2 linked regions of the Mytilus edulis genome follow. The protein of the gene in region 2 purifies or fractionates together with the protein of the main gene of each other region. This does not show direct contact. Links are inferred from orthologs where the notes say so. Each region holds a gene or a part of one and is shown on either strand. Other genes may lie near its edges. The genes, in order: COP9 signalosome complex subunit 3-like and serine/threonine-protein kinase stk11-like.

Region 1 (16,769 bases), on a different chromosome or scaffold from region 2:
ATGAAGATATGTGATTATAAGGTAAAATGCCATGCTAATAATATCACATTTCCATATTCAGTGAAATCTAATGTACATGACCTTAGGTAGGAAAACTGACAATCCTAGTTAATTAAGATTGGACTTGAGTTGGGTAAAATTCTACTTAATTTGAAGATAGTATTTAAAAGGCAAGCTGTATTGTGCTTTCAAACAATGGTTAAAGCTCTACATATTTTTTTTAAATTTGTTTACTCAAATCCAATATCCACTATTTAAGGCTATACACTAATAACACAAAGGTTCCTGATTTGATCCCTGTTCTGGCGAGAAAATTTCAGGGACTGAATTTTCGACTTTCTCTTGACACCATTTGCTAACATGGTCTTGAGAAATTAGGATAGTCTGTTGGAAGGAAACAATACATGGCTGGCCTGTGTTAAGAGAGATCAATATCTCTTGCACGTAAAAGACACCCTTGTAGATTTTGAAAAAGAGCAGGCTAATGCCACTACAAGACAGCACTAGCATCGGCAAAGTGGAAAGGGATTAATATAAGTTGCAACAAACTTGTTTCCCAATCCACACTTAATAAATATGTTTAAACTAAGGCTATACATTTAAGGTCATTTGAAAATATTTGAATTAAGTATTTCACCTGTTTCTTTTCTACCAAATTTTGTGTAAATCTATGACATAAATCTGCAACTGAAAAGAGAAAAAAATATTTAAAAAATATTATCATTAAACATAAATTATGGTATATAATCATGGGAGACAATTTAACATATCAACATGTAAATCATAAAAGTAAATTATTTGATAAATTTATGGAATTTTTATAAGCTAGAATTCCAATAGTGATTTAATAGATAGCAGAAAGCTAAACAAAAGTCAGCTAATGTATCTTAGAGACATGAAAATCAACTCATATCCATTTAATATTTTTCCGCTCCAACCATTCATCCAAAACAAATTACTTTGTCATCCCAAGACTACAATTTATTACCCTGCTTTTCGTTGTCCACGAATATAGTTCCTTTTAATTAGAGTGTATTTTTCCTTAAAATTTTTCTTTCCCTTCCTCACTCAATTCTTAGATTTTCTTGGGTGGAAATGAAAGAAGAGAGGTGAAATAAATTTTTGGATGTTGTATTTAAACTGATTTTGATATGGAATGAGTGATTAGGCCAAGTGCAAAAAGGTAATATTTACAGTTTTCGGAACATCTCTTAGCTTGTCAATAGGGGTATGCATGTGTATTGGCTAAAGGAGTAGGTTCAGTAAGACACCTTTTTGGCCCCAAAATATAGCAGTTTTACAAAACTGTTAAAATGTAAACCTTTAGTTATTTATTGGATAGTAGAATGCTTCTGCTACATTAATATGGGCTGTTTTTGACAATACAATGCACATATATCCGGTACTAGCACCATTAAGTCATGCTAAATTACTGAAATCCACATAATTCTAGCATTTTAGTTAAATTTTAGACGGTTTTCGTATAAAACGAAAGTGGACGCATTCGTGTTCATCCTTAATATTGAAATGTAAGTTGTATTTTATGATAATACATAACATATATAAAGGTTAAGGATGAACACTTTCATTTTTACGAAAAAACATCTGAAAAGTGACATTTTTTGGCATATCAGGTAGATTTTTCATATTTGAGCATTCAGATCGTTTTTAATGACTAAATCTGTTAAAATCTTTCACATAAACTAATTAATTCAAATAAAATAGACACTTAAGTGTTTAAAAAGTGGTCAAAATCTTTCGTCAGATGAACCTGAAATTTGAGGCCAAAATCGGTCCTTACCGGACCTACTCCTTTGTAAAAGTGATTGGTTCAATCTTTCTGAATTTTGGATATATATTTGGACTAGGACTATACATTACACACACAAAATTTGACAAAAGTGCATGGTGCAATTTTTTTAATGATGCAAAACGTTATAAAGAACTGATAGAGGAATTAATTGTGGTCTGTGGCCATATCTTAGTAAAAAGGCATGATATGGGTTATTTTCAGGAAAATTATAGCTTAATTCACAAAACTCATCAAAGTGATTATTGTAACAAATTTCGTCAGTATGTAGATGATTAAAATAATGTTTGGGTTTTAGGCTAGGGTTTAAAGTTTGTGCACTGCATCATTTCTGAACATTTGTGTTTCTTGTTGTTAAGATTTTATGTAATTTCTCCATTTTATTATATTTGCTATATCACTGGTATACTTTTAAATGCATACCAGTATATAATATATAAAGAAAGAAGATAAGACAACACCTTAAATAAACTGCCAGATGTTTTGAAATATGTGCCTAGTTGTGTTGTTGCGAATGCAGCAAAACAGACTATTGAATGCAATAAAAGTTTACAGTAGAATTATACTTTAATATAAAAAATGTATAATAAAATTGAGAATGGAAATGGGGAATGTGCCAAAGAGACAACAACCCAACCATAGAAAAAAACAACAGCAGAAGGTCACCAACAGGTCTTCAATGTAGCGAGAAATTCCAGCACCCGGAGGCGTCCTTCAACTGGCCCCTAAACAAATATATACTAGTTCAGTGATAATGAACGCCTTACTAATTTCCAAATTGTACACAAGAAACTAAAATTAAAATAATACAAGACTAACAAAGGCCAGAGGCTCCTGACTTGGGACAGGCGCAAAAATGCGGCGGGGTTAAACCAGGGCTCACACTACTTCAGAATTATAGGGAGAAGTGACTTCTCTTTTTGAAACTGATAGGGAGAAGTGGTGAGATTTGAAAGAGAAGTGCTCATTCGTGCGGTGCGCTACAATGTTTGGATTTTACAATAGTATAAAGGGCCATATGTAAATAATGTTCTTTTTATATTGTTCAATTCATATCTGAGTAAAATTCATATTTGAGTAAAAAAAATACAATTAAAGTAACATTTGAAATTAAAAGTTGTTTAAGTTTTACTAAGGTTCTTGTGAGAAACTTATTCCAACTAAATATCTAGCACTAAAAAAAAAAATTATTTTAGAAAATGTAAAGAAATTATAATATATCATTATTACAATTTAATTAAAAATTATCTTGTGTATGAAATTCAGTGTTTCTCATAAAAAAATATAAAAGTTATTAAGCTGGGCCATAATATATTGAAATTAGTATAATAGCCTCAGAGTTAAGCAACTTTAATCAATAGTTTGAAACAATCCATAAAAAATGTAGGCACAATCCTTCCTGTTAGGGGTTTAGTATCATACCATCATAACATATATGAGAAGAACATAACCCGTGTCATGCCAATGTTCATATTAAAAAGTCTGTATTTATGTCACATGTTTTCACACGCTTTTTGACTTGATTTGTCATTGTCAGACAGTGTTGTAGGTAGACTTATAATGATGTGCACACCAAAGTTGCCAATAGTAGCAAGGCAAAAAATTTGACTGTTATGATTTTTTATGAATTTTGTTTTTGGTCATTTCATTTGAGCATGCCAAGTGTGTTGTTGCTTCAATGGTAGCTCAGACACTGTCAGAGATTGGCAACTATGTCTTAATAAAGATTATTTTGTTGTATAAACTTACAACTGTCTGTGGCATATCTGACATGCTCTCCATTACAATTATGGATGAATTCCTGAGTCTGTATAAATAAAATCTCAAAATCTGGTATATTTGGTAAACTGTACTTAACACATCTGAAACAATACATCATTGGGTATTACATTATGGTTAATGTAGGACAATTCAACAGAAATTACATCAATAATCAGAAATTATCTCTACACCAATGTCATTTGGTTTGTTGAGAAATAATGATATAAATATATGAAATAGTATCCTCTTTGTGACCAGTTTCCTTTTTGTTAAACATATTTGTTATACATTTTTAGATACAACTAAAGATGGAAAAGTATTCTTTCTCATTGATACCTGCATAAGTAAAATAAAAACATCCATATGAACCGTAGAAATAAACTTCTTTTAAAGGTTTGTATGTCAGATCTTTAATTTATTTAAAAGAAATGTATCTATTTTTGTTATGTTACATGTAGTAAGAAAATAACTGCGGTGGTACCAATTTTTAACTGGTTAAAATTGTTATATTGAACATCTTTATCTGTCTTTTGTGGTGTTACTGACAGTAAAAAATCATTTAACAAAATAAACAAAAGAAATCTGAATATGTTTACTTACAAAATACCCAAAATTCCTAGAGAATGTTGCTGAATATCTAATGTTGCTAACACATTGTCCAAATGACTTGCATTTTTGGTTAGGGCATCTGCACTTTTTCCAATGAATTCACACAGCTGAGAAAAATTTCCTACAACAGAAGTAAATTAAATTTGTTAAGAATGGGAAACACCACATCTATGTGTTTTAGTGTTTGACTATGAGTGTAAAGTACAACACTATGTGCGAGTTTTAAAATAAAAAGTTGATTGAAATATACAATATTAATTCAAAGCCCACTTACTTTTTTTATTATTCCAAATTTAAATTCAACAAAACTATCCCAAATATATGCAACAAAGTTCATATTTTCAAGAAATAACAATATTAATATAATCATATAACAGCCATATGCATCCTTCATGTCCTTTTTGGGGCAAAACTTCTCTCCCCAAAGCAACACAAGTCCAAATAATAAAAATCAGAAAAATCATATACAGTGGAATCTCTGGTGTCTGCATGGCCAGTAATATCATCTATTACCTGATTTCGTTATATCGGCAATGTAACACAAATAGAATCATTCTTGTAATTGTTTTAGTATTCTGAAGGGACAGAAAAGATTAAAATTGATAAGTTCAAGATTATCTTTATAACTACAATCTGATGATTAACCATATTTAGACAATTTCTATTAAAAAAGTTACATCATCAGATAAAACTTGTTTCATTTAAGTCAAATTAAAATCAGATTGAAATAAATTTTGCTTTGCATGCTTGGTAGTCTGTTTGGTTCAAATTCAATAACTTTTGTACTATAAAACCTTTCTTTTATCTAAATAATTAATTTTTAGCTAGATGGCATGCAGGAAATCACTGGACATTTGAAATTTTTTCAATGATAATTTGTAACATTTTAGCTCTATAAATTCAAATACATTACATTTGTATTACATTGTATCACTGATTATTATTTCATAGTATTTGTATTGTAAAGATTAAGTTTTTTTTTCTAATAACTATCATCTATTTAATAAGTTAACTTCCCAGATAGAATTCCACAGCAAAGGAAAACATATCCCAGGGAAATAAGTTTCCTCTGGATAAAAAAATAACAACAACTACTATGACATTTTTTCCTCCGGATCAAATTTCACCCAGATATAATTTTGCTTTACACTTGTTCAGTTTATAGAAAAATATTTCAATCTTGATGCATCTTTGGACAATGTTGGACTCGCAAGTTTTGACAAATTTTCACGAGTCCAGGACTCAAGGACTCGCCTTAGTAAAAACCCTGCTGAATCTTTTAACATGTTCAAATCTTCAATTTCTAAGCATCTATGTTACCTCAACTATTACATCAAACTTTATAATATACATAGCATTTTTCATTTTCCTGTATTCCTTAATTTTGTATATATAAATTTCTGTCTTGTTGTAAGTTTCCTCCAATGAAATGATATTCAATTTGTTGAAGGCAGTCACTAAATGTATATATATGGTAGAAGTATAATGTAAATGTACAATTGTAAAAGAACTGCAGTTCAAGGCATAATAATTATTTGGACTATATATACACTTAAAACTACCAAAGAAATTGAAAAAAATTCTTCCAACTGACAAACAACATCATTTAAAGTTTGTTAAATGTAAAATATTCATGATTAGTTTTAATATGGTAGAGTCGGTCCGGGTAATTTCGTACAGTCGGGTTAATACCGTACATATTGTTTTTCTGTTGTTTTTATAATAAATAAGATTAATAAAGTGTGTTTTAGTGTTGTATATAGATAATTAAATATTTACGACCTTATTTTTTTAAGCTTTAAAGTTAAAATGGCCACAGAATATATACGCATCACGATTGATCGGAAAGTTTGATTTGCAGGTTTTTTTGAAAGCTAGTCTTGTGGAAAAAGTCACCAGATTTTGCTAGTAACCAAGTTTCGATATTTAAAGGTAAGAATTTTTTACTTGCATCTAAATTTAAGAAAATTGATGGCAAATGAATGCCCTGAATATTTTACAATTGACATATACTGTTTTATGTAGTATTTGTGAAGATGTTTCCCAAAAATATGACTAGGAGTGGGTGTACGGTATTACCCTTTGTGATATTTTACATTAAAATGCAAGTAGTCTAATATCGTACACTTCAGTTTTCAGATATATGAAATATCATGTTATAAAATGAAACGTTATATATTACTAACCTTTGCTTTTACCAGTGAACTTTACGCAAAAAATAAACATAAATACAGACACTATCTTCACGTTGTTTTATTTCACCGTGAAATGATGTTACAAAATTTGACCCTGTGTATAGTAATAAGCGGGTGAAGTGGGAAAGGTGAGTAACGATTTCTGTACTTGTCTATCAATTAAAACAGAACTGAAATAAGAGAAGCAAATTAAAAAAAAAAAAGATACAAAGTTAACTGGCATCAACAATATTCGTAGAACGAAATAAATTGTAAAAAAAGAAACCATTCTTTATATTTTTCAGTTATGAATCAACATTCAGTTGTCATATATTTAATGAACAGAGATATTGGTATACATAACAACTACTCCTCCCTAATTGCATGGCAGCTTATGAAACTAGACATGCCAATGTTTCATGAAGTCAAGCAATACTTTGTGGTTGATTGCATTGTACATTAGCTTTCCGATAAAACCATTGGAAATATTGCATTGAATGTTGTTAAAAAATGGTTATCATCATATGAAGTAGGAGAACTACCATTAACTTATTAAGTGCGAAGTTTGGTTCATCATCATCAATTATCAAACTTACCTGTAGGAATACATCCGTATCTTGAAAATTTGAGGACACTTTTAGAAACAACTGATGAGTTTGAATACCAGTCCTGGTCTGACTAAACATACTTTTTCTTTGAGATAATTGTAATTAATAAAATATTTATCAATTTCTTTAACTTTTGTCTTCTCTTTTTTCAGTTATGCCAAAAAAAGGAAAACTCTCCTAAAACGTAAAAGCTATACCACTGAAAGTTTGCAAAAAGCTGTAAATGATGTCAAACACAACAATATGTCACTAAGAAAATCTTCCATGAAATATGGAGTTCCTGTAAAGACTATTCACGATCATATTGCTGCCCTAAAGTAGATAAACCAAGCTATAAGTTAACAACTAGAGGTCAACAAAGTTGATTTAACTTTTTATAAGAAAAAAAACGTTGTATGATCCAATTCCATGCCTGCATTTTTTTTAATTTATAAATAATATGCAATAAAGCTTTTAATTTTATCCATATTCACTGCCGATTGAGTTTTGGAAAAAGTTCTATTTTAAAAAAAAAATTGTAAGGGTTCCACGGAACCCAGTGTCTCGCCTACTTTTGTTGTTAATCGCAGACTCAACAATAATGAGGAAAAACATCAATAAAAATTTCCCTCTCGATACTGTCTTTTGATTGAAAGAAGCTTCCAAGTTTGGTAAAAAAAAATCCAGGATAGTTTATGAATCTAATAAATGTTTTATAAACTTTAACTGCAGACTGTATGTAATGTTAACTGGAAGAAAAACTAAGTCCATTTATAAGTAAAATACGGAAAAAGTGATTATGATCAGAAACAAGCTTTTGTCTAAGTTTGGTAGAAATCCAGGATAGTTTAAGAACATTATAAAAATTTTAAAAATTTAAACCACAGACATGACAGAGTGAATGTTTTGTTTCTGGCAAAAAAACTAAGTCCATTTATAAGTAAAATACGGAAAAGTGGAAATTTTTTTTTTCAAATTTTTCTTCGTGATACTACAAATGTATCTTATGATCATAAACAAGCTTCTGTCCAAGTTTGGTACAAATCAAGGATAGTTTATGAAAGTTATTAAAATTTTAAAAACTTTAACCAGAGTGAATGTAATGTTTCCTCGCAGAAAAACTAAGTCCATTTATAAGTAAAATACGGAAAAAAATGGAATTTTATTTTTACAAAATTTACTTCTGGATACTTTCTTATGATCATAAACAAGCTTCTGTCCAAGTTTGGTAGAAATTCAGTATAGTTTAAGAAAGTTATTAAAATTTCAAAAACTTTAAACACAGAGTGAATATTTGTGGACGCCGCCGCCGCCGATGGAATGTAGGATCGCTTAGTCTCGCTTTTTCGACTAAAGTCGAAGGCTCGACAAAAATCAGGAAAGCTCTTTCCAAAGAGAAACAGTATTTTGAATTATATCGATGTAATATAATTGTACGGAATTACACATCATGGTGTACGAAGATACACGACATGCGTACGTATTTACCCTACTGTGACTTTTCAGTACGATTTAGTCATTCTTGGTATTTTTTGTTGATTGCTAAAGAAAAAGTCATACACGTCTACAATCTACGAATAATCTAGTTACCGGTTTCCTTCTTGAACTTTGTTGTATCAAACAGGGAACCAAATGATATTCATTTAGGACCGAAAGTGTACGGAATTACCCCGGACCCACTCAACAAGACAGAGTAAAATGATGATTTTTTTTCATTTATTTTAGGAGATGGGGTTCAAATGTCATGTAACTGTAAGATTTGTCTACACTAGTTGATTGAATTTAATTTTTAATGCTGAAATAATTATTTCTTATACCTTGGGAAGACAGGTTCTGTACTGTATTGACATACTGCTCTAAGACTGAGGCCATAGTCTGTTATATTTTTCTAGAAGCAGGATTTTTCACCAATGTTCAGTTGTCGCTTACAACAATAAGATAATATCTATTTTTTTCTTAAAAAGCCTTATGACTTGTAAATATACATTTAAAAATAATATCTGAAATTCCAAATTTCAAAATGTTTTTTTTCTACAAACTAAATGAGTGGAAATCATATCAAAATTAATGCATGTCAATTGTTTATGATCTTAAGCGGTAATAAACAAATAGGTCATTAAATAGAACGACAGTCTATGGGACGTTAGATGGTATATATATATTCTATTCTATTCTATTCTATTCTATATACATGTTCATAAAGCAAGTGAAACAATATGAACTATTTAATATACTTAAAATAGGTTGATGTATAAAGGATCTTTCTTCCAAAATAGAACAAACGTCTGACATCTTTATAAACTTAGGAATTTTAATGAAGCTAAAAAACAACTATTTCAAAAAACTTGAAAGCCTGTTTTAATTTGTATAGAGCCTGAGTCTTGAAATCCTCAAGCAACTGCACAAAACACATCTCTGCATTTATTAGATCATTGTGTAACAGGAACAGGTCCCAGTATACTGTGGGGTTCGATTGGGACTAGTCCTGGACCGTGTAGTAAAGTACCTGTCCTGGTAAGTACCTGTCCTGGTTCGTATCTCTCAGATCATCAGATGCTTGTATAGGCTTTGAAAAACAAAGATTTTAAAGCACAACTTTTATTATAACAAATTACAAAATTTAATCAGCTTACAATATCAAACAAGTTATACTTATTTATTTTATTTATCTAACTTTGAAACCAGGATTTGACAATTGACCTACTGGAAGTATCTATAAAGCAAGCACTGGCTACAGTTACATGGAAATGTAACAATAATAAAAATATTATTGTTACATTGGGGACTAAATGCCGGAATGCATGGTTGGATAAGGAACCGATTAATTACCAATGTAACAATAATTATTGAGGCTACGGTTACATTGCGTTATTGTTTCATGAAAAACAGCAATATTCGATGGGACTAGTAATATGTACTAAATAATAAAAGTTGAAGACATTATCTTATATTTACAATACATACAAGTATAACATACAATTTTTGATTTTTTTATAGTACGTCCTCCATGGATTCTGAAATCGGACTAGGCATCTCTTAAACTGAGTTTTACTATGCGTAGTGTTGTGCGTTTGTTTTTTATGCATTGGCTGGAGGTATAGGGGAGGGTTGAGATGTCATAAACATGTTTAACCCCGCTGCAATTTTGCGCCTTTCTCAAGTCAGGTGCCTTTGCATGGCCTTTGTTTGTCTTGTATGATTTTTAATGTTAGTTTCTTGTGTATAATTCAGAGTTTAGTATGACGTCCATTATCACCGAACTCGTATACATATTTGTTTAGGGACCAGCTGAAGGACGCCTCTGACGGGTGTGGGAGTTTCTCACTACATTGAAGACCCATTGGTGACCTTCGGCTGTTGTCTCTCTATGTTCGGGTTGTTGTCGCTTTGATACATTTCCCATTTCCATTCTCAATTTTATACATGTATACAGAAGTTCACAGTGTTAGTTCACAGTCAGCAAACTTTTTGATGTACCAATTTTTGGTAAGTGCGTTGTATAGCGGTATGAAATTTGTGTCTTGATATTGTTTCAGTTTCGTTTCAAACGCATCCCATGCAAGTTTTAAATTTTTCACCCAAACAGAATTGGTAATAGGAATCTCTTCATCTTTTGTTCAAAGTATAATGACAGTAATACGAGTAGGTGTGCAGTTAAATACTTAAAAGTGAACAGTTTTCTCAGCCTGAGTTTTCAACAACAAACCATTGAACTATATTTTTTGCCTTTGGCACTACTAATTTGAAGTAGTATCTTTAAGAACTAACGAAAGCTCCATTTGGAGCTAATGTGTTTAGAGACTACTTATGTCGGTACACCTTTCCTATATTGCCTAGTATCTTTAAGAACATCAAATCCATTAATACCTAAAACTATTTAAACACCATTTGTTGAATAATAATATTTATTATTATAACAAGTATTATTTAGTAGACCTGAATGAATTAAGCAACAAAACTAAATAGAAGATTTAAGTTTAATAAATCTAGCGTACATTGCTGTTTTTCATGTAACAATAATGCAATGTAACCGTAGCCTCAATAATTATTGTTACATTCATAATTAATCGGTTCCTTACCCAACTTTGCATTCCGGCAATTAGTCTCCAATGTAACAATAATATTTTTATTATTGTTACATTTCCATGTAACTGTAGCCAGTGCCATCTATAAAATCGTCCTAACAAAAAGTCATCTAACAAAAAAAAAAGAAAACTCTTTATAGACCACAAAATTGCTCAAGTTTGAATACCAACATAATGGATTGAAACAGTCCTCTCTAATACTAATCTAAGTAAATGGTATCAAAAACTAGAATTGAATACAATTCCATTGGGTAACATACCTGTCGCCTTTAGACATGTACAAAATGTACCAATGAATATAAGGAATATACAGACTTATATGGTAAAAAAAGTATGACCTTTTTAACTTGAATGAACCCTTTACAGTTCATAGGTTTTACTTTGTAAAATACCTAGCTTTTAGGATATGAAATAACTATCTTCCTGAAAGACTTTGAAAATTTTTAACATATCATGCTCTGATTGACTGAAATAATTATCAATATACCAATGAAATTAGGTTACTAAAAGTTTGTGCTTCTGCACAAGCTAAATCCCACTTCTGGTTTGAAGGTAAAATCAGTTGAGTATAAAATGAATAAAAACTTAAAGACTTTAAACAAATGTGAACCTAAAACCTTTGTAACTAATGAAATGAGATAAAACTAAACACAGGTAAGAATTCTGAGAAAATTCTGATAACTTTGAGCCCAGAAACTTAGTTAAATTCACATTTGTTACTAAAACTATATTGATGGTAAAACCACAACTATCACAATTGCATAACCTATTATTCTATAAGGTTGGGGCATTACTGATACTACTCCAAAGAGAAAATCTGGAAAAATAGAGATAATGGATCAGGATTTAAAGATCAAAAAACCAAAAACACATAATTTCTAATTTTTTATTACCTATTTATTTTAATATGATTAACTCAATTTGCTCTAATTGCATTTTTGGGAAATGACATTTGGTCTCAAAGTTTCATTATTTTGCTATTCTGAAGTTGTCTTTTATCCCAATAAATCTTATTATCGTCCTTCCCTACGCCTATATCACCCTGCTCTGTCGCTCAGTAATTCTCGTATCAAGACTTCAAAACGAGACCAGGCATTATCAGCGACGTCACAATGTGAGAGGAGAAGTTATCAGCGACGTCACAATGCGAGAGGAGAAGTTATCAAGCTTGCTTTCGTCAAGCTTAAAACTGTCTTAGGGAGAGGAAAAAATACCATTAATAGAACGATAAACAGATAATCGGATTTTCTACGTATAGATATCGTAAAATATCAGCCGGTCGACACAATGTGAAACTTTTTAGCTCGTTCGCTACGCTCACTCGCCAAAAAGGTTCGCATTGTGGCTCGCTCTGATATTTAACGATATCAATGTGTAGAAAACCCGATAATCTATACAAATATACCAGAGTTTTTTTGTTTTTTTTGTGGGTCTGTTGCTTAGTCTTTTCTTTTCTATGTCATAATTTTAAAGGTAAAGATTGCATGAAATTCAATCAAAACCTTATGGGATTGACTTGATATCAATTCTTCCAAGACTTATCACAACCTTATTGATACACATATTATAGTGTATTGATCATAATATTTTATATATCCTGTCCATGAACATTTCCAGAAATTTAACAATGTAATATATGCTCAGATATTCAAGGCACAAAATGATGTTACACTTGTCATGAAAATTACATAACTTTTGTTAGGTAGATATAGGAAGATGTGGTGTGAGTGCCTATGAGACAACTTTCTATCCAAATAACAGTTTAAAAAAAAGTAAACCATTATAGGTTAATGTACGGCTTTCAACACGGAGCCTTGGCTCACACCGAACAACAAGCTATAAAGGGCATGAATTTTATACCTGTTCTAAGAATATAAATGATGCCATTGTTAAAGTCATCTTTAAAAAAAAAATGGAGTTATCTTCCTTTGTCTAGAATTGCTGTTAAAACATCTACAACCAATGCAATATTAAATTTTTCTTCCAACTGATAAATTAAAGCAATCTTTACCATTCAGTGCTTACAAGCACTTGATTTCTGGGATTTGGTTGTTTTTCTTTTTTTTTACATGGCTTTATCAGTTTGTCATCAACTATAATGCTCCTTTGTATTCTTCCACTTCTCTTTTATCAAGACACACTAACATTTGATGTCTGAATTAATTTGGATAGAAGGCACACTGTTAGCCATGTCCTCTTCTCACAATGAATAAGGCCTCGTTTAGCTTACAATACTGTACAGGGTTTGCTGCTTTAAGGCTATGAAGTGTAGGGTTTTGAGAACAATTATGCTGATTCATTGTTTTACAATTTTACAGAATCATCCAATCCAGACTAACCCTAAAAGATAAATATCCAATTCATCATATTATTAAAATCCACCAATTATCACCTATAGAAAAAAAACCATTTACGAGGTTGCTAACTTTGGACAGATACATGAACATGTGGTGACAGCCATTACATATGAAATGATTTGAAATAATAGCACAGAGAATAAAAAAAAAACAATAACAAAATTTAAAGTATTCACAGAAGATTCAAAGTATTTTTTTGATAGAGATCCTAAAGATGTAGCAATGCCTTTTTACTGTACACCTATATTTTCAGACTGACACTTTTTGATAATTCATAGTAACTAAGACTAGTCTCAGATAGTAAACAATGGCAGCAAGGAGAGGAATAGGAAGTATGGCACAAAGAACGTTGATGGTTTTGATAGATCTTGATGAGACATTGGCAGCATTTGAAAAGCATTTCGTGATCAAGTTTAGAGAAAAATATCCTAATGAACCATATATTCCAGTAGAGAAGAGAAACACATTTTATATTGCTGATCAGTATGATAAATTGAATTTTACAGATGATAGTGTTAGAGTGAGTGATCCCTGTATTAAGAAATAAAAACCATTTTCTCATTTTATCTTATATGTTGCTTCAATGGTGAAAAATAGTCAGTATAAATGAGGTGAAAGATAAAAAAGGGACCTTAAGTTAAAACTCATAATTTAAAACAGACCGACAACGACCTGGTTAAAAAAAGGAAAAGACAAACAGACTAACAACAGCTCCACAAAACATAGCATAGAAAATTAAAGATTGAACCACATGAACCCCAACAAAAACTGGGGTTGATATCAGTTGCTCCAGAAGAACAAGCAGATCCTGCTCCACACGTTGTCAGTCATTGTGTGGCTCATGTTAGTACAAACTCTGTGATAAGTCTGATTTAGGGAAAAATGGTTAGGATTGTAGTTACAACAATTGAACAATTTCATCTGTGGACATCCAAGTGTCGATATTTTGTTAACTTCGGTACATGTACTAAATTACAGAATAAATTTATCATCAGAGTCACAGGTTTTGCAGTAGTTTATGATGAAATTGTACATAAATGAAATATTCTGTTGACACATTCAAAAGGAAGATAATACATATAGGTGAAATTAATGCATTAAATTTAATCTCATAAAGAATAATTACAAGTGCATCTTGAAAGTCTGTTAAGAGGACTAACAAATATTTTATTTGTTTATAGCTTGAATTAAAGAAGATTTACAGGAGTGAACACTTTTTCCGTGATTTACCAGAAATAGAAGGTGGATGTGATGCTGTCAAGGAAATGGCAGAAATGGAAGGGTAAGAAATAAAGCCTTCTCTGTTTTATATCTGATGTATATATTTACTGTCTCATTGATGTACAGCCAACATCTTCTTTGACTACACTTTGAAAGGTATATGTGATTTACAAATTAAAAAATGAGGCAACTTTTTTATGAGATTTAGCCAATGTTAATAAAAATATGTTGTAATTCTGAAAAAATGCTAGTTTGATATATTTTCCAGTCACTTTTTATAGATGAGATCTGGGAATGGATTTGAAGATCATGCTGTTCAAACTTTGTTACTCAGCATTTATTTTTTCTGAGTGAAAACTCAGCATTTATTTTATCTTAGTGAAAGTTTTGATTATACTCCCTTTTTATAATTTCTGTCAAATAAATCTATGCCTGAGCTTTATCTGAAAATAAAATTTAATACAAGTAATATTTTGTCAGATAAAATAGATTTATCTTTAATTAAAGTTGCTTAAAATATACAACTTAAAAAAATAAGATGATACCAAGAGGGTTACAAATTATTACAAGTAAAAAGGCAAACCCACCATGTTCATGGGCAAAATTTCCATATTCATGAATTTTTAATGAAATTGCAAAAAAAACACATCATGTAGAAATCCAATGGTGAAGCAAGACTGATACCTTTAAACACTCTTTACTGAACTCCTATCAACAACTTTATACTGGCTGAGGTAAAGAAATCCTGGTGGCTTTCTATATTGAGTGAATTTGTCAAAGAACGGTTGATAATTCTGGAAGAAAAATCTGGACTGTTACAAGAATTGAGAATTTATTACTTGAAATTATTTTTCAGTGTTGAAGTTTTCATTTGTTCTAGTCCACTATTTCAGTACAAGTACAGTGCACCAGAAAAAGTGAGTATAATGCTTTTTTCATGCATGACTGAATTTTCTGGGGTTTTCCTTTACTATACTGGGCCATACTACAAATCCTCTACATATTTAAATTTGTAGCAAAAAAGTCAAAAATATAAAGTTATTCAAATCAAAAATTGATGATAATAATTGATTCATTATTGTTTACACAGCATTAATGATGGTTTGAGGTTTAACCCTAACAGAAAAGCTAAAGGAGACCCCCGTTCATCAAATCAATATATGAAAAAGATTAAAGACTAACTTGACCTAACAAAGTCTTACATTTACAGTATGAATGGGTAGAGAAACATTTAGGACCAGATTGGATAAATAGACTGATTTTAACGAGAGATAAAACTATGATTAATGGAGATATTTTGATTGATGACAAGATCCATATAACAGGTAAGTTCTGCTTCATCGATCTCTATACATATAAAAAAGAAGATGTAGTATGATTGCCAATGAGACAACTCTCCACAAGAGACCAAATGACACAACTATAGGTCTCTGTACAGCCTACAACAATGAGCAAAGCCCATACCGCATAGTCAGCTATAAAAAGGCCCTGAAATGACAAATGTAAAACAAATAAAACGAGAAAACTTAAGGCCTTATTTATGTACAAAAAATGAATGAAAAACAAAATATGTCAATCATCAACAAATGACAACCACTGAAATACAGGCTCCTGACTTGGGACAGACACATACATACAGAGTGTGGTGGGGTGAAACATGTAAGCACAACCCTCAACTAACCTGATTAATTTATTTCTTCTCAATATTATGTGAGGACATATACCTTTCTGGAAATAATTCTTACTGACATGTGGATGTTCTAAGTTTTCATTGGTTAACTTAAATAAACAATGAAAAATATGGTTTGGTTCAATGTTCTCAGCTTTTAATTGGTTGATATTTATAAGAACATATTGTTTGAATTTTTTTATTCTCAGCTTTATTTTTGGTTGTCAAAATTACATTTTTCATGAATGTACCTTTTAAAGCTTATCAAATGTTAAATAGTTTATTTATCATGGTTGAGGGGCCTGATGGGGGGGGGGTCTCATCACTATTCACAAGTTGATTTTTTTGTCAATCAAGATTCACCGAAAATAAATTTCCATCATCACGGATGACGAAAAATATAAGAAATAAAAATCTGTAGAAAAAAGGATCACGATAGCAAAAATGCACCGATCATGAAGAACGAATATAACCCATCAGGCCCCTCATGGTTGAA
Region 2 (16,835 bases):
TTTTTTTTATAAACAACTTTAAATTTGTGAAATTTGGCTAGTACAGACGAGATTTAATTCCAATAATAATCTCATTTAGTTTAGCTTGCTATTATTTCGATTGAAGAACCCCAAATACTTTTTAGGAATATAGTTTTTGTCTCCATAAAAGACGTTTTACTGTCCTTGTTATTTTTTGGTCTTACGCTCGTTTTGACATTTTGTAAACATGACTTTAGCGATTTGTTGTTTTGTTCTATGAATAAATGGTACTCTATACTGGTAATCTTGTCACCGTGATGAAGTTATAATAATACAAGAAGTGCAGAGAAAATGCATGAAATGTCCTCTGATACGGAACGTCTGGAATAAGTATGGTATCGACGAAGACCCAAATTGAATGTACAAAATAAACATGAACATGAACAAGGCAACAGTACCAGTTTAAACATTGTAAATAAAGGTTAACTTACATATTGTTCGGGTTGGAAGAAGTTATTGTATATTCATTGAAATTGAAATTACAAAATCACAGGAACAATATCCATGATTTTATTTAAAATCATAAAGGTAAGTACCAACATCTCTTTGCCAAAATATACTGATACATTTTTTTTAGAGAAGTCAATTCAGATGGCCCACTCATTTGACAACATGGCCCATTGAATTTATTTTTGAGGGGCCCTGGGCCCATAGGGAAAAAAACCTTCCAGATCACTGATTATATGTGTATGTATAAAATGCCACCTCTTCGTTGAGGTCAGTTTTTGATAAATGTGTTTTCATTAATTTTAGTTGGTTCCAATTGTCATTGATTTCTCTGAAGGGGAAGCAACATTTTAAACACTTGCTCCTCTAAGGAAGTTTTTTTTTTTTAAATGGTGAAAAATTGTGCATTCTGGGGGTCATTATCCAGTCCACTAAAAACATAATTTTTTAATGAAGATAATGTAAATGATTAACTTAAATTAGTAGCATGATGGTTGAATTTTCTGTAAAATTTTGTCAGTAAAATCTTTGTTTTACGAAGGCAAAGCTTAAAATACAGTACAGTTATCTTCTAAATACAAACACACTAGGTACATACAAAACTTACCATGCAGTAAATTAGTAAGAACACTGTCTATGGAATCAGGGATTGTGTAAACTCCTTTACTTATATTGTTGAATAACTTATATATATTATCTCCATCATATGGATACTTTCCAGTGGTCATGTTATATCTGAAACAATGTATAACAGAATGTAATAAGATAAACCGAGGATAATATGTCCTGCAGCTGTACCAGGTTAATGATGGGCAATTCACCTAACTCATTTCATACTATCCTTTTTTATTAATTTATGTTCTGTCAATTCATTATTGTCATACTCTAATTTGGTTTTTAATAAAATTATAATTTCACTAAAATAACTTATTTTTTTGTGATCTTCTAAAAAGAGCTTGATAAATACATTAAAAAAAATTACAGTCACACTTAATAAATTCAACTTAACGGATGACCTCGGAAAAAAACATAAGGTAAAACTATTGTGATAAATAGAAGTCACTTAAACAATTTGTTGTAACCCCTGTATCTAGGTTATAGGACCATTTTTATGGTCAATGCAAAACAGAGGACAGCATTTGAAAAGTGAGAACATCTCAATCATAATTTTGAATATGAATGTGTCTATGGGCCACAGATGTCCTAGCTTGTAAATACACACAAGTCAGGGTATAAAAATTTATTGACAAATTCAAAAGTTTCCGTTTCATCCAAGTATCAAGCAAGAACCATAACTCAGAAATGACTAAGAGTGAAAATGACATAAAAGTAACTGATCTCTGTTAATTGTTATCAAATTCAAAGTTGATCAAAGTATTACAAATTTATAAATTGTATTTTAACATTCAAGTTTTAACGGCAAAGACAAATTGTGTAGTAAAATGTAGTACCTCTTTCCTTATAAACAGTGTATAAAAGGTTTGAATCAATCAGGGAGATGTAGTGAGAATACTATCTGAATTTACAAACTGACAGAGATAATACTACAGTCCTTAAGAAACCCTTTGGAAGTACATGTATACAGGACACTCAGCCATCTACTGATTACTGAATCCCTGAATGGCAGAGATCACTGGAACTACTTACAATGTAACACCACTGGACCAAACATCAACTTTGAACCCTGGAAAACTGTCCTCCCCATTGGCTATTTCTGGTGGCTGGAATGCTGGTGAACCTTGACTTGTGTGACATGTATCATCAAATGCATGTAAAGCTATCTCCTACAATATTCACCAATGACTATCAAGCTTTAACTATTTTTCAATAATTAACTAGTATTCAATATATTGGACTCTATTAAGATAAACGGTTACATCCATATGCCTGATATTCATGTTTTGCAAAATTGCTATTGGCCTGATAGAAATTTTAAAATCCTATGCTGGTGAAGACTGCAGGTAAAATTTAATTGACTTACCATGTGCAGTGATGTGACTGTAAATGAACCTTAGCTTTTTTTTGTATGAACATTTATTTTCTCAGACTGGGCAGTCTTACTTTTGTAGTAATGATCTTAACTAAAGTTGTTTTTGATGACAACAGATCCAGGGTATTATACTCGTTGTAAACTACTCCAATGTTAATTATTGTGAGCTGATCTACAGCCAAAGTCTTTGATGTTAATTATTCCAGAACAATGATCTTTAACGTGGCCTGTTTATTTTTAGTCAAGTTAAGTGCATACCTCAGCCACACCAAAATCTGTGATTTTTAACGTCTCATCTCTGGCTAGTAACAGATTACCAGGTTTAATATCTTTATGGACTATACCTCGACTGTGTAAAAATATTAATCCTTCTACTAACTGCTTAAAATAACTGAAAAGATATATATGCTTATGTTAATACTTTATCTGTGATTCAGTTCATAAAACTATTGAATACCTATCAATGTTGTCAAAATATTTATAAACCTGTCAAAAAATTTCTTTTTCCAACGGCCATAACTTCTGTAAACTAAGTTGATCATCACTGATTTTCAAACATAATTCATTTTTTTTTAAATCATACAACAGTTTTTCAAAATCATAAAAGACATTGCTGAAATAAACCTTTGAAATAAGATTCATTAACAATTCTATTACAGGTATTGTAATCTTGTACAATGCAATTTTCAATATAATTTTAATTATTTTTATACTTACTAATGAGCCTGAAAGATTGGGAACTTTTTATCTGTAGCACTTTCTAACATTTCTTGAAGTTCACAAACACAATATTCCATAAAAATATACCTGTATTTTTTATTAAGGAAAACAATTAAACAAAATATTTCATGAACAAACCAGTTGGTGAGGTGACCTAAAGTTTATATAAAAAGATTTGCAGACTGACATTGACATTTTGTCTGAACGATTTGGTGAAAGTTTTACAGAATTATTCCGACAGTGATCTCTCTAGTACTTTCTCCTTAAACTTATGGCATCACATTTATAATATTTATTCTATTATAAAACCTATTCATATACTAATAAGAGAACAATGGTAAAAATATCACCATGGTGCTTCATTTATTAGACTCAGGTGTGAATCTGGTACTACCCAATCAGTGGTTTATAAGGTGGCTGTCGATAAAAATTGCCTACTTGTTTTGAAAAAAAATCAGATTTATGAAACAAAAAGTAAAATCAGAGTTGAGAAATACCAGGACAACAAATAATAAGTCTCAAAAACTTACACTCAAATATATAGTTGGTTTATGAGTTGATGATACAGAGTACAAAAAGACAACTAACTGCCAAGGAAATCACTTTCTACATTTACCCCTTGGCTCCAATAATGACTCTCCTAGTTTGTTCTTGTAATTAGATATGTTTACTTGTTTAATAATTAGCCGTGTTGTAATGCCTTCCTCATAAATCTGATATTAAATGATTTCTGGTTGTCTTACATCCCACAAATCAATTATTTTTTTTGCAATAATATCTATTAATAAATCTGTGAGAACTTTCGTCATAATTTTTGACATTTTTTAAGAAACATTTTTTCCTTCTGTATTATAGTCATAATCAAAGACAGTAAAAGACAGATTCAAGATTCAAAATAACCTTTATCAAGTACAAATTTACAACATATATGCATGATATGCATTGTCATAAAATTGAAATTTCTTGCGCAAACTCAAAAAGACAAAAAAGAAATGGGCCAAATATATGTAAACATGTATCTGAATATCTCCTCGGTATAAACGAAAAATTTATTTAATTTAATTTTAAGCTATCATTTTGATTTCCTTTGACCCTGCATTTCATTTTTTTATTGCATGTAAGTTTACCAAACACCCATCTGACTTTCTTTGATATGATTATAAAGGATACATCTTTTGCTTTTCATCATTAAAGATGACATCATCCAAGAAAACTACATGTTTATGGTGAAGCCTCTTTAAAAGCTGAATTTCCCTGTAAAAAAAATGCATGAACCAATTAAGAAACAACCATCTCAGTATGTTCAATGTTATCTTCTGTAACCAAGTTATGATCTAGTACCCTCCTATCAACCCCGGGCAGATTAAGACAACATTTGTTATTACAATGCTACATCATCTGCTGGAAGATAAAAGTCATGCTTATTCGAAATACATCATTCTTGACCAATGGCAGCATTTGATGTCTCTTCTGACAGTGTGGAGTTGTATAGTGGTTGTGTCTTGTGTTTACAAATCTTGTCAAGTAGGAACTTAAAATAAACTTTGACATTCCAACATTTGCTGGAAAATGCTGGAGATATCTTTTCTATTCAATTTAAAGTTTTTTTAGAGTCAATATTCAATAAACTACATAAACACGAGCTCTAGTGAGCTTGCAAATAGACGTAAGACAATATTTCTAGTTTGATAAATACTAGTCTATAATGTGTCTGCATCATTGAACTATAAAATTGTGAACAAATTCTTTAAACCTGTTGTACTGATCCAAAGCATTGTGTTTTTAGTCTTTTTAGCACTTTCCAAATGAAATATTTAAGTGTTTGGCTATTGTAGTGTTACAAATACAAATTTTCAAGCTATATTTTAACTTTTAAGACTTTTTACTATTCCCAGCTACATTGAAATGCATTGACTTAAATGTAGACACAAAATATTTTTGTAAGGCCAAATAAAAATATATGTGTGGTTCCAGTAACCCGACAGACCCTAATTAAAACCCCCCGACCTTAGAACTTTTTTTTTTATTTCTGAAAAATAAATTTTCAAAGGTTAAAATTTTGAGGATTGTGAATTAAAATAATTAAATTCATAGAATTCTGTAATCTGAATTTCCATCACAAGTATCTGTTATGGGTAAAATGCAACAATTCATAACAGAATGCAACAAAATTAACTTAAAACGTATCATGACTGTTTATTTTACAACCAAACACATGTAAAAATGGCGGACTTCAGGTTGGGGCATGTATAATACCGGAAACAATTTCGGTAAACACACGATTTGTTTCCGGATTTTGACATTCAAAAAAAATAAAATTCAAAAACAAATAAAAAAATTGCCGACCTACCAACCCTATTTTTTAAAAGTATGTAACTGGAACCACACATATATTTTTATTTGGCCTAATGTTTGTAATTACTCAGTTTCTAACCCAGCCTAGCATTCTGCCATTTAGTGTCCAACAGAACAATATTTTTTGGCAGTGTTTGCATGTACCCGTATGTGGGTACGAATAGTCAAATAATAGTTTGTATGCTACGCATACCCGCATCCGGTTTTATAATAAAATGGCATCAGATTGAGAATGGAATGTGAAATATATACGGAATTTGTTGCAATTAGTGAATAAATTGATTTAAACTACTCCGAAGTTTTATAGACAGTTTTTCTCAGTTAATAAATATTCTTAAAATGGAAGAGTGATATACATGTGGGGAAGACATTTCAAGTTATCATGAATTGGAACAATTTGTTCAAAACTTTCAGTCAACTATAGCTAATTTTATACAATTGTATAAAAGAAACTCAGAGTCAATTGCAGCTGCAGGAAAAATTTGACAGGAAAAAGGCCTAATACAATCGGTATTCGATTAAAATTTATAGTTTAAATTGAATTTGCAGTGTTTCATTCTATGGTCAAGTTTTTTTTTATGTCAAATACTTCTTGTTTTTCTATTCTAAACCATTCATGATATAAAGGATATATATGTCTACTTTCAGTACTTTCCAAATGGAATGTATTTCCACTTTAAACTTGGCTTGACTAAAGCTGGAACAAAGTTGGTTTAATTTGACAATATTAATTGCTTTTTAAATTTTTATATACACACCCAAGCTTTAATTTTAGTAGTTTAAGATATTTTAAAATTTCCTTTTCTGTTTAACATTTTACTTAAAGATTATTTTTAAATCTCATATGGGTATTTTTCAAATTCAGTAATTTGCATTTACATTTTATGATAGTATTAATTTTTATCATGTTTTTCTTTTACTGGGACTGTAAAGTTTCATTTTCCATCAGTGCATCATAGTGCATGAGCATTTAATTTGCAAGGTTCATTACATATTATTATCTTAAAAATACAATTTGAAAATATTATTTTTCATATTCTTCACTTGTTCTACAGTATATTCGCCCAACTAAGAACTGGCTATACAGAACTCAATTACTACAAAACCGAGTAGGCCAAACCAACGCCATAGAGTCCTGCAACTGTGGAGCACATGAAACGCCTCAACATTTTCTTCTGGAATGTCCCTGCTATGAAAACGAACGAGAAGATATGTTACACCAAATATCCAAAGAGGTCGGGGTCAGAAACTTGAATTTAGCTAACGAGACTGGACGGCGAGAACACAGAAGAGACAAAAGCCAAACTACAAACAGTGGCACATTACATTGACAGAACGGGCAGATTTAATACTACTGTCCCACAATCCCAATCTTAACCAGCGCATACATGTACCAATTTAAAGCACAGAAAAGAAAATACGTTGAGGAAAACCGCACATTGAGACAATTCGTGCCAACAGGCCTTAAGATTGAGGATTGAGGTCTACATGAAATCCCCATACTATTGATAATTTCCGTTTATATTTCACCTTTCATTTACAATCCCACAGCATTTTTATTATAAAACCGGTGGGTACGCATAGCCTACGAATGGTAATTTGACTATTCATACCTGCATGAAGGTATGTGCAGACATAGTCCAAATAATTATGACGTCTTGAAAGGCTATTATAATTTTTTTCTTTGACGCCTTACATCGACGTCATAACGCCAAACTCATATATTCAGTTGGACTTTGAGAAGGAATTTACTGCTTTATTAAAACGTTTAGCTGATTTCTCCTAAAGATGCTTCATTTTAGGTGTATAAAATATATTTTTTAACCAAACTCGGTACATTTTCACCGACCTGAATTTCCGGATAATGTAAAACAATGGTTCCGGAAATTCGGGTTTTACCGAGTTTGGTGTAAAAATTATTTTATAATCTTCTTAAAGGAAATCAGACAAACGTTTTAAAAAATGCAGTCGACATGTTCCCGCCTCGGATGGAATTGTTCCTTATATTATTATTTCTGTAGGGATTAATTGGAAATATTTTGCACAAACAAACACATAAAAGGTAAGAATTTTTGTTTATGCATTTTGTTTTAGCCTCCAATGAAAATTTTGTGGCTAAATTGGGTCTCAAAGTTGAGAGCAAAATATGCTCTCAAAGTCCAACCGAAAATGGCGGCTTCAGCATTATGACGTCGATGTAAGGTGTCAAAGAAAAAAATTATAATAGCCTTTCAAGACGTCATAATTATTTGGACTAGTGCAGACACTGCCATATATTTTTGTTTTATTTATGTTTTCAACATAATCAAAGACATTGCCTTAAATATGCTTGACATCACATGTTGTGGCATGAGCAAACATTTTGGTTTTTACATTTTCAAATGTGATCTTCGGAAATAACAACCTTAAAACGTTTTGTTCTCCATTAGGAATTTTTCTCAGTTTCCTCTTCTTTAAAATTTTAACAGCCCTTCTGCATAGTGTGACAGTGTCTATAACTTCTTTAACTTTTCCATATGAACCCTCTCCTAACAGATCGCCAACAAGATACTTTCCAACCATCTTTGCCTTTTTCCGACGAGGCTGATAAACGACTTCGCTAGATTCAACTCTGTGAAAAAAGGGAAGACCTCCATCACTATCGTTAAGGAAATCAAGTTGATCAACATGTTCTAGGGTAGAATGGCCATATTCGTTGGGTGCAAGAAATATATCTGTTGGCACCACAACATTCTCTGCCATAACTGGTGTGGACTATTTCTTAAATTTTGGAAACCTAACATCACATTCATGTCAAAGTGGCTGGAGGAAGTTGGTCGACTCCATATTTGACAGTTATCAAAACGAGGCGACTGGTTTAAAAACGTCGTTTCGTGTTCCGGAATCAGCAAAAGAAAAGTTAATATAGCGGGAAATATAACATTTGAAATGTGTTACTTTTTGTTGATACTTTTTGGTATCAAAACTAAAAGTGTCCATATTATTTTTAAGTGTAAATATATCTTTTGTCTACGAAGACAAACACGCATTTTCGCGACCGTTACCGTCAAATGAGCCTTAATTTTTTTATGGTCATTCTTCAAATCGGCACCATACTGTACCGTCATCATATATATACAGTGAATTTAAAAACATCTTGAAGTTGATCTAGTTCATCTCATGTAGGTAAGTCTTGAAGCATTCAAGACTATCTGCACTGATGGCAGTATGTGGTAGTGCATTCCAGTCAGTCTCGAATCGTCCTTGGGTAAAAATATTCCTTCCACACTTGGGTCCTACAAGATGGTACTTGGTATCCATTAGTGTTGATATTTCTGGATAGCCTATCTGGTGGAATGAGAGTATAAGTGGTGTCAAATTTCACCATCCCGTTGGCAAGTTTACATCATTGTGAGCCTTGATGTCCTCCTACGGTCATCGAGGGGTTACTCTCCAGTTGGTTATGCATGTCACTAACAAATCATGATGTGTTATGATATCTATTAGTGCATATGTGGCTGCTCTCCTCTGTACCATTTCCAGTCGCTTTTTTTGTTGTTTAGTTGATAGGGATCCCAGACTGTACATGCATATTCTAGAGTCGGTCTTACAAGTGATTTGTATGCATTTTCTTTTATTGTGTTGTTATTGATGTTCAAGTTACGTTTGAGGAAGCCTATGGTCTTGTTTGCCGTAACACATATGTTTTTGATGTGTTCATTCCATTTTAAATCGGAGCTGATGGTGCAACCAAATTACTTTGCAGACTCGGAGTTAAGAGATTCGAGAATGTGGCCATGCAGTACATATTCTTTTATAATAGACTTGCATTTTCTTGTTATGATAAGAACATTACATTTATCTGGATGAAATGCCATTTGCCATTTGTTTTCCCAAATTGCCAGCTTATTTAGATCTTCCTGAAGGTGGTCGCTGTCTGTGTCTGATGGTATTGGAGATATATGATTGTATCATCAGCAAAGAGTCTTACCCTTGATCGGATTCCCTCTGGCATGTCATTTATATAGAAAAGGAACAAACTGGGTCCAAGAACTGATCCTTGTGTGACGCCTGAATCGACGTTGATTGTATCAGATTTTTCCCCTTCTACAACTACGACTTGTTTTCTGTTGGCCAGGAAGTTTGTGATCCACCTGTTGGTTTTCCCTCCTATGCCATAATGATCCAGTTTGTGTGTAAGTCGGCTATGACCTACTTTATCAAAGGCCTTAGAAAAATCCATAATAAGGCAGTCTGTTTGTTTTCCATGTTTATGGTGATATCGTTAATAAACTCAATCAGTTGTGTTTCGCAGGACAGGCCTCTCCTGAATCCGTGTTGGAGTGGATACAGTATGTTGTACCTCTGTTGTGTTTGTCAGCATGGGTCATTATGTGGCTTGTTACAATGTACTCCATGATTTCGCAACAAATGCAGGTAAGCGAGACTACTGCATCAAACCGTTTTCCCTTCTTGAATATTGGGATTACGTTAGCCTTTTTCCATATGTCCGGTAAATCGCCTGTTTCATATGATCGTCTGAAGATGGTGGTAAGGATTGGTGCAATGTCTATGGCTAATTCCCTCTGCACCCTTGATGTAATGGTGTCTGGACCCGCAGCTTTAAATGGGTTTAGGTTGGACAATAGTTTTGCTATTCCATTTTCTGTTATGTTCAGGTCTTTTTTGAAGTCCAGGGTAGTTGTTGTTGGTCATGTCACAACGGTTTTTGAATTCGGTTTCTGTAAAGTTGTTTTTTTTGTCAGAGAAAAACTGATTGGAACTGTTTATTTAGTATGTTAGCCTTTTCAACTGACTCAGGATGGAGTAGTCCATTGTTCCTTAATGGTAGTATAAGGTTTCCGTCTGATCTTTTGTGCTTGATGAATGTCCAGAAACGTTTCATGCAGTTTGGTTTGTCTTCTTTGGGATCAGGTGTTATTATATTCTCTATATATTTCCAATATGCTCGTCTTATTTCTCTCTGTACCGTACAGAGAGAAATAATACCAGCATATTGGAAATATCTACTACCAGTCTTTTTAGTTCTTTATATTTTGATGGTATGCTTAGCATCAGCTGATTTTTTTTTCGAAACGGTGAGCTTTAGCCATCACTTGGCGTCCGTCGTCGTCCGTCATCGTCCATCTGGTGTAAACTATTTCAAACATCTTCTCCTCTAAAACTACTCAACCAATTCCAACCAAACTTACACTGAATAATTCTAAGGGTATCTAGAATAAAGTTTGTGTTTTATTTTCTGTTTCGTCAAAAAAACATGGCCGCCATAGCTAAAAATAGAACATAGGGGTAAAATGCAGTTTTTGGCTTATATCTAAAAAAAACAAAACAAAGCAGTTAGAGAAAATCTGACTTGGGGTGAAAGTGTTCTTAAGGTAATGTTCTATCAGCCCTGAAATTTTCAGATGGATCTAAATTGTTGGGTTGCTGCCAGTAAAATTGGTAATTTTAAGGCCATTTTGCAGTTTTTGGTTATCTTGAATAGTGTTAATGATAAAGATAAACTTTAAACAGCAAATATGTTCAGCAAAGTAAGATTTACAAATAGGTTTATAGGACCAACATTGTCAATTGACCACTTAAAGAGTTATTGCCCTTTAAGGACAATTTTACACAATTTGTTTATCATGTTTTCTAACTTTAAAAAATCTTCTTTTCTGAAACCACTGAACCAATTCCAACCAAACTTGAGCTGAATGATCCTTAGGATGTCTAGAATAAAGTTTTTGTTTTATTTTCTGTTTCGTCAAAAAAACATGGCCACCATGTCTAAAAATAGAAGATAGGGATAAAATGCATTTTTTGACGTATATTTTAAAAACCAAGGCAGTTAGAGAAAATCTGACACGTGGTAAAAGTATTCATAAGATAGTTCTATCAGTCCTGAAATTTTCAGATGAATCTAATAACCCATTGCTGGGTTGCTGCCACTAAAATGGTAATTTTAAGGAAATTTTGCAGTTTTTGGTTATTATCTTTAATAGTATTAATGATAAAGATAAACTGTAAACAGCAAATATGATCAGCAAAGTAAGATCTACAAATAAGTTCATATGACCAAAATTGTCAATTCACCACTTAACGAGTTATTGCCCTTTAACGACAATTTTACACAATTTTTTTTAAAAACAAAATTCAATGAAATTGGACACTCAAACCCTTTAACGAAAGATAAATGCCAAAAAAATCAACTTGAGCGATTCTTGTTTCTTTTTATTTATTGTAATGTTTTTTCTCTTTTCTTTATGAGCGTTTGATGTCTGTCGTAATCCAAGGGTTACCGTCTTTTGTTCTAGCTGTTTTTGTGATATGTTGGCATTTATAGTATTTTCAAGTTTACCTTGAACATAGTCCCACATTTCTTGTGTACTACATTCTTGATGGTTCATCTTGGTAACATCTGTATTTATTAATTTGAGATCTTCTTTGATGTTTTCCCGCTTAGCTTTTTTATATAAGGATATTTTCCTTGGCTTTTGAGGTTTTTTTTTATGGTATGGTGTTCAACTCTGCAAAGACGATGTCATGATCTGATATGCCCGATATATATGGTTTCGACTCTATTGTAGCAGTTTGGGTAGTTCGTGATTATGAGATCTAGTGTGTATGATTCTCTTGTTGGTTCCTCTACCATTTGTTGTAAGCCATGATCGTCCAGGATGTCAGTGAACTTATGGTGTATGTTGGTATTCTGTGTATTGGGCTTCAGTGATTTGGTTTTCCAGTCCCAGCCTGGTAGGTTAAAATCACCAGCCATGATGATTAAAGCATTTTTTTATATTGTTCGCTCTGGTTAGGCTCTTCTCAAGTCCTAAGTACCCATTCTCGTTTGATGTTTTGGGGTTGTAATATGAGCTTAAGTATATGGCTTTGTGTCCAATGAGTTAAAGTTTGCACAAGACAATTTCACAGTCAGTTTGTAGTTCAGGTACGGCTGTTGTTATATATTTATCTTTAATAGCAACTAGTACGCCCCCTCCACTACAGTTTCTGTCTTTCCGGAAGATGTTATATCCAGGAGGGAATATTTGACTGCCAGTGATCTTATTGTCTACCCATGTTTCGGTTCCAAAGATAATATCTGGGTTTGTGCTTTCTATGAGATTAAGTACTTGTCCTTGTTTACTTTTGATTGATTGGAAGTTAACATTTAGTAATCTTAGTGGTGTTTCAGATTTCTTTGATGGTTTTCTGTTCTTGTTTTTATCCGGTGTGGAAGCATGTAAGGGTCTCATATTTATTGAAGACGTTGGACTGGTAAGAGAGGTGTCAGACAATACGCTGTAATTGTTTGATGTGCTAAGTATTAATGAATAGCATCTGTGTTGAATAGTTTGGACATCCACATGTGATACAATCCCATGCAAGTCCACTGTCATTTGCATATTCATTATACGATTTAGTGTTCATCGACTGGCATGACACATGGTACCACTGATTGCATGTGTCACAAACTATTCCTCTATCGTCCCATGTAACTAGATTGTCACAAGTGCCACATAGATACACAGTTGACAAATCCTTAATATTAAATAGTCAAATCTTATTTTGTAGCCGCTGAGACTACTATAACTCATGGTAGTCTCAGTTTGTAGCTACAGTGATCTACAGTTGTGCAAATCAATGGAGAGAAATCTCAGTCTGGTTTTTTTACCATACCTCTTTCGGCTTACATACTGAAGTCTGTCCAGGGAGAACACGATAATATTGTTTATGCCGAAGCAGTAACAACACCAATCAAAGAAAATCAGACACCAAGAAAAGTTTACCAATATAAGAAAGCAGACTTTGGGACCATGAAAGCAGAAGCAAATAATCTTGGAAACGATGTTATCATAAACTGCAATAAAATTGAGAATGGAAATGGGGAATGTGTCAAAGAGACAACAACCCGACCAAATAAAAAACAACAGCAGAGGGTCACCAACAGGTCTTCAATGTATAGTACAGATATAAACAAAATATGGGAGGAATTTAAAGATGATACATAAACTTACTAACAAGACTGAGCACATACCACAGACAACAATTAAACATCATATAGCACCGGATTATAAACTACCCCCCCCCCAAAAAAAAAAAAATCTCGTTTTTAAAATGCATGAGTAAAGAGATAGCTGGAGTGCCACCATTGAAACATGAAGGACAAACATCAAATGACACAGTTGACATTGAAGCCAACACGCTAAACCATCAGTTCCAATCAGTTTTTACTGAAGACAACAAACCTGTCTCACTAAACCTGCATCCTTTGCAAGCTTATGAAGCATATCGTAGTATCCAACGTCATGAAACATTTAGAAACTAATAAAATACTATCCGAGTTCCAACCTGGCTTTAGAAGTAAGAAATCGTGCGAGACACAACTTATAGGCCTGATACATGATATAACATGTAAAATGGACAGTAAAACACAAACAGATATAATAGTCCTGGACTTAGCAAAGACATTTGATAAAGTCAGCCATCCACGCCTGCTACACAAGCTCAGACACTATGGGATAAGAGGGGGAAATCACAAATGGATCACAGCATTTTTAGACAACAGAACACATGCAGTTGTACGTGAAATTAAGTATTCGGACAAAGTAGGAGTCACATCTGGAGTACCCCAAGCAGTGTACTTGGACCTGTCATTTTCCTAATCTTCATCAATGACTTCACTGATAACATAGTCAACAATCCATCTGTTTGCTGATGATTACACCATCTATACTGGCCGATTAGAACTATCAAAGATCAAGCCATTCTTCAAAAAGATCTAACAACACTGACGAAATGGGAACAGAAATGGAAAATGGAATTTAATGTCAGCAAATGTAACGTGATGCACCTAACACGATATAAAACCCAATTAAAGAACTATATTACATGCATAGGAAACAACTAAAAGTTAACAGACAAACAATACTTGGGAATTACCATCAAAGATGATCTTAGCTGGAACTTACACATAAACAACATTCTAGCCAGTGCAAACCAAGCACAAGGGATGCTCATCAGAAACATCAAAAAAGCTCCACAGCAAACAAAAACCAATGCTGTCAATGCACTAGTAAGACCAAGAGTGGAATACAGCGCAGCCATATGGGATCCCTATACGCAATAATATATAGACAAAATAGAGCGGATACAAAGAAGAGCAGCTCGCTATATTTTCAACGACTACAGTAACGAATCAAGTGTCACAAGCATGATAAGCAAGCTTAACTGGATACCTCTATACCAACGAAGAGTGAACATCAGATTATGCCTATTTTGCAAAATTGTAAATCGACTAGTAGCAATTCCAACAGATTCCATTACACGGAACATCTAGACACCACTATATCAAAGAAGAAGAAGAAGAAGAAGAAGACGATTGAGTGACCGCCTTCAACAAGTAGAAATTTATGTCACAACAGGAAACTTACAAGAAGACATCGATTCTTCTTGTTTAGGTATACAATATTCCATCTTCATCCGATGATTACATATTGTTCGATTGATTTATATATGAGACAATATCTGAAAACGTCTATTTTTGGGCAATGAGAAAAACACAAAAATAATGTCTTTGGAACCTCTATTTTAATAGCACAAAACAAAACAAAGAACAAACATTGTGGACTCAGGAACAGTTGTCATTTTAGATTTGATAAATGTGATAATTGAACTATATATTACCAATGTAAAAAATGGTACCAAAAATTCCAGTTTTTCCCTTTAATCAATTTAAGAAGTATTCTAATGTGAATGAGGAATAAGGTAAAGATACTATTTGTGGTTTACTAGCACATCCTGCATAATTTTATCCAAAGCCAATTAATATGTTTAGCTATACAATACATAAGGTTAAGAAATATAGTAAATTTCCATTATAGTCAGATTTGTAGGTAACATGACAAAATCTTCAGTAACATGACAGAGTTGGTAACGGGAAAGATTTTTTTTTCAAAACAATTCCTTTCTTTTGATAGTCTTAGAAAAATACATTATCACAAATTGGTCAAAATAGCAAAATAATCATTTTTTTTAAGCTTCTATTTGCTATATGAAAAATCTGTCTCGGCAATAAAAAACAACATTAAAAAATAAATTCCTTTCTGTTACCATCTACTGTACTGGAATTGTACAATTGTTCTTTGCTGTTATTAAAAGTCAAAACCCTGTCTTGTCATTCAATATATAGACAGTATATTATGATAAGGTTTTTAGAATTATACGATGGTATTAACTTATATTACACACACTGCTTGGTATATGGTAGGTGAGCTTTGTGTTTCATCAGCAAAAGTGTCTTTATAATCCTACCTATTACTGTATATGGCTATGATGGTACTTTTTATCAAGTTACATGACAGAACGTAACAGAAAGGTATTACGCAGTACCCTTTGTCTTTTTATTTGAATTAAATGGAAGTAGAAGTTCCATTCAGTGGCGGATATGTCTTTTTTGTGGGATTAATTTATTGTTTTTAGGTCTTGCAACCTTTTCGTGTTCAATTTTATATAGAATTACCAATCTTGAATCTTTTCTTCTTTCAGGCTGTTCTATTCAAGGTGTTGTAACATGTTACCAATACTTGATGTGTTTCTGTATTTGTTGGTTACAAACTCCACCTTTCAACTTTTTCAATGATATCTATGTCTTGTTGTAAGTATGGTTTCCAAACAGAGCAAGCATACTCTAGTGATGGTCTTACTAGGGACTTGTATGCTTGCTCTTTAATGGATGTTGAGCTTATGTCCAGGTTCCTCCTTAGAAAGTCCTACCCAAAAGGGCAAACCCTCGAGCTGTTCTAATTACTTGGTACCGTCGTCCATCAACGTTCTGACAGAAATACTTTCCACTGAAACTACTGGACTAATTTAACTAAACTTGAACAGTTATAGTTGAAAAAATCGTTTCCGAAAAAGTCTAGATATATCATAAAACAATTAAGTGGGTAGGTAAGTAAGTTGTATTTGCAACCTTTCCTTGTTTGTTGGTTGCTTAGGCTATCATGACAAACTATTGTGATATTTCAATGATTGATGAGTTGAGTTACATCGACTAAGAATCATTTTAAAACAAAATATTTATACATATGTACATATACTACAGCCCGTATGAACATTTCTCGTCTTTTTGTATATAACTATCAACATTTGAAATATTTTGTAGAAAATCCGACGTTTGGAATTTAAAAAATTACAAACTTTTTATGTATTAATTTTCAAATTTCAATACCTAAATAATGAACTTAGAAAAAAATGACATGGGCTAGGCTATGAATGGATTTAAATACACGCCAATAGAAATCTACCCTATGATATTGGT

The links.
Region 1: the proteins of serine/threonine-protein kinase stk11-like (region 2) and COP9 signalosome complex subunit 3-like purify together in Homo sapiens (affinity purification with mass spectrometry; 5 studies listed by BioGRID and IntAct, with this or other methods). This does not show direct contact. The link is inferred for Mytilus edulis from reciprocal best matches to the Homo sapiens genes STK11 and COPS3.

The regions. Positions count from the first base shown.
Region 1 is NC_092352.1:14,416,528-14,433,296, reverse strand, and holds the start of COP9 signalosome complex subunit 3-like, read right to left. Parts: upstream 8,881-16,769; 5' UTR 8,814-8,880; coding exon 8,759-8,813; intron 4,302-8,758; coding exon 4,172-4,301; intron 3,673-4,171; coding exon 3,560-3,672; intron 688-3,559; coding exon 638-687; intron 1-637. Other genes in the region: 5'(3')-deoxyribonucleotidase, cytosolic type-like, read left to right, coding at 13,691-13,903, 14,565-14,665, 15,461-15,521, 15,815-15,929. UniProt on the Homo sapiens protein: Component of the COP9 signalosome complex (CSN), a complex involved in various cellular and developmental processes.
Region 2 is NC_092344.1:117,601,237-117,618,071, forward strand, and holds the start of serine/threonine-protein kinase stk11-like, read right to left. Parts: upstream 8,394-16,835; 5' UTR 8,276-8,393; coding exon 7,938-8,275; intron 4,433-7,937; coding exon 4,349-4,432; intron 3,266-4,348; coding exon 3,176-3,265; intron 2,850-3,175; coding exon 2,717-2,849; intron 2,253-2,716; coding exon 2,116-2,252; intron 1,204-2,115; coding exon 1,076-1,203; intron 1-1,075. UniProt on the Homo sapiens protein: Tumor suppressor serine/threonine-protein kinase that controls the activity of AMP-activated protein kinase (AMPK) family members, thereby playing a role in various processes such as cell metabolism, cell polarity, apoptosis and DNA damage response.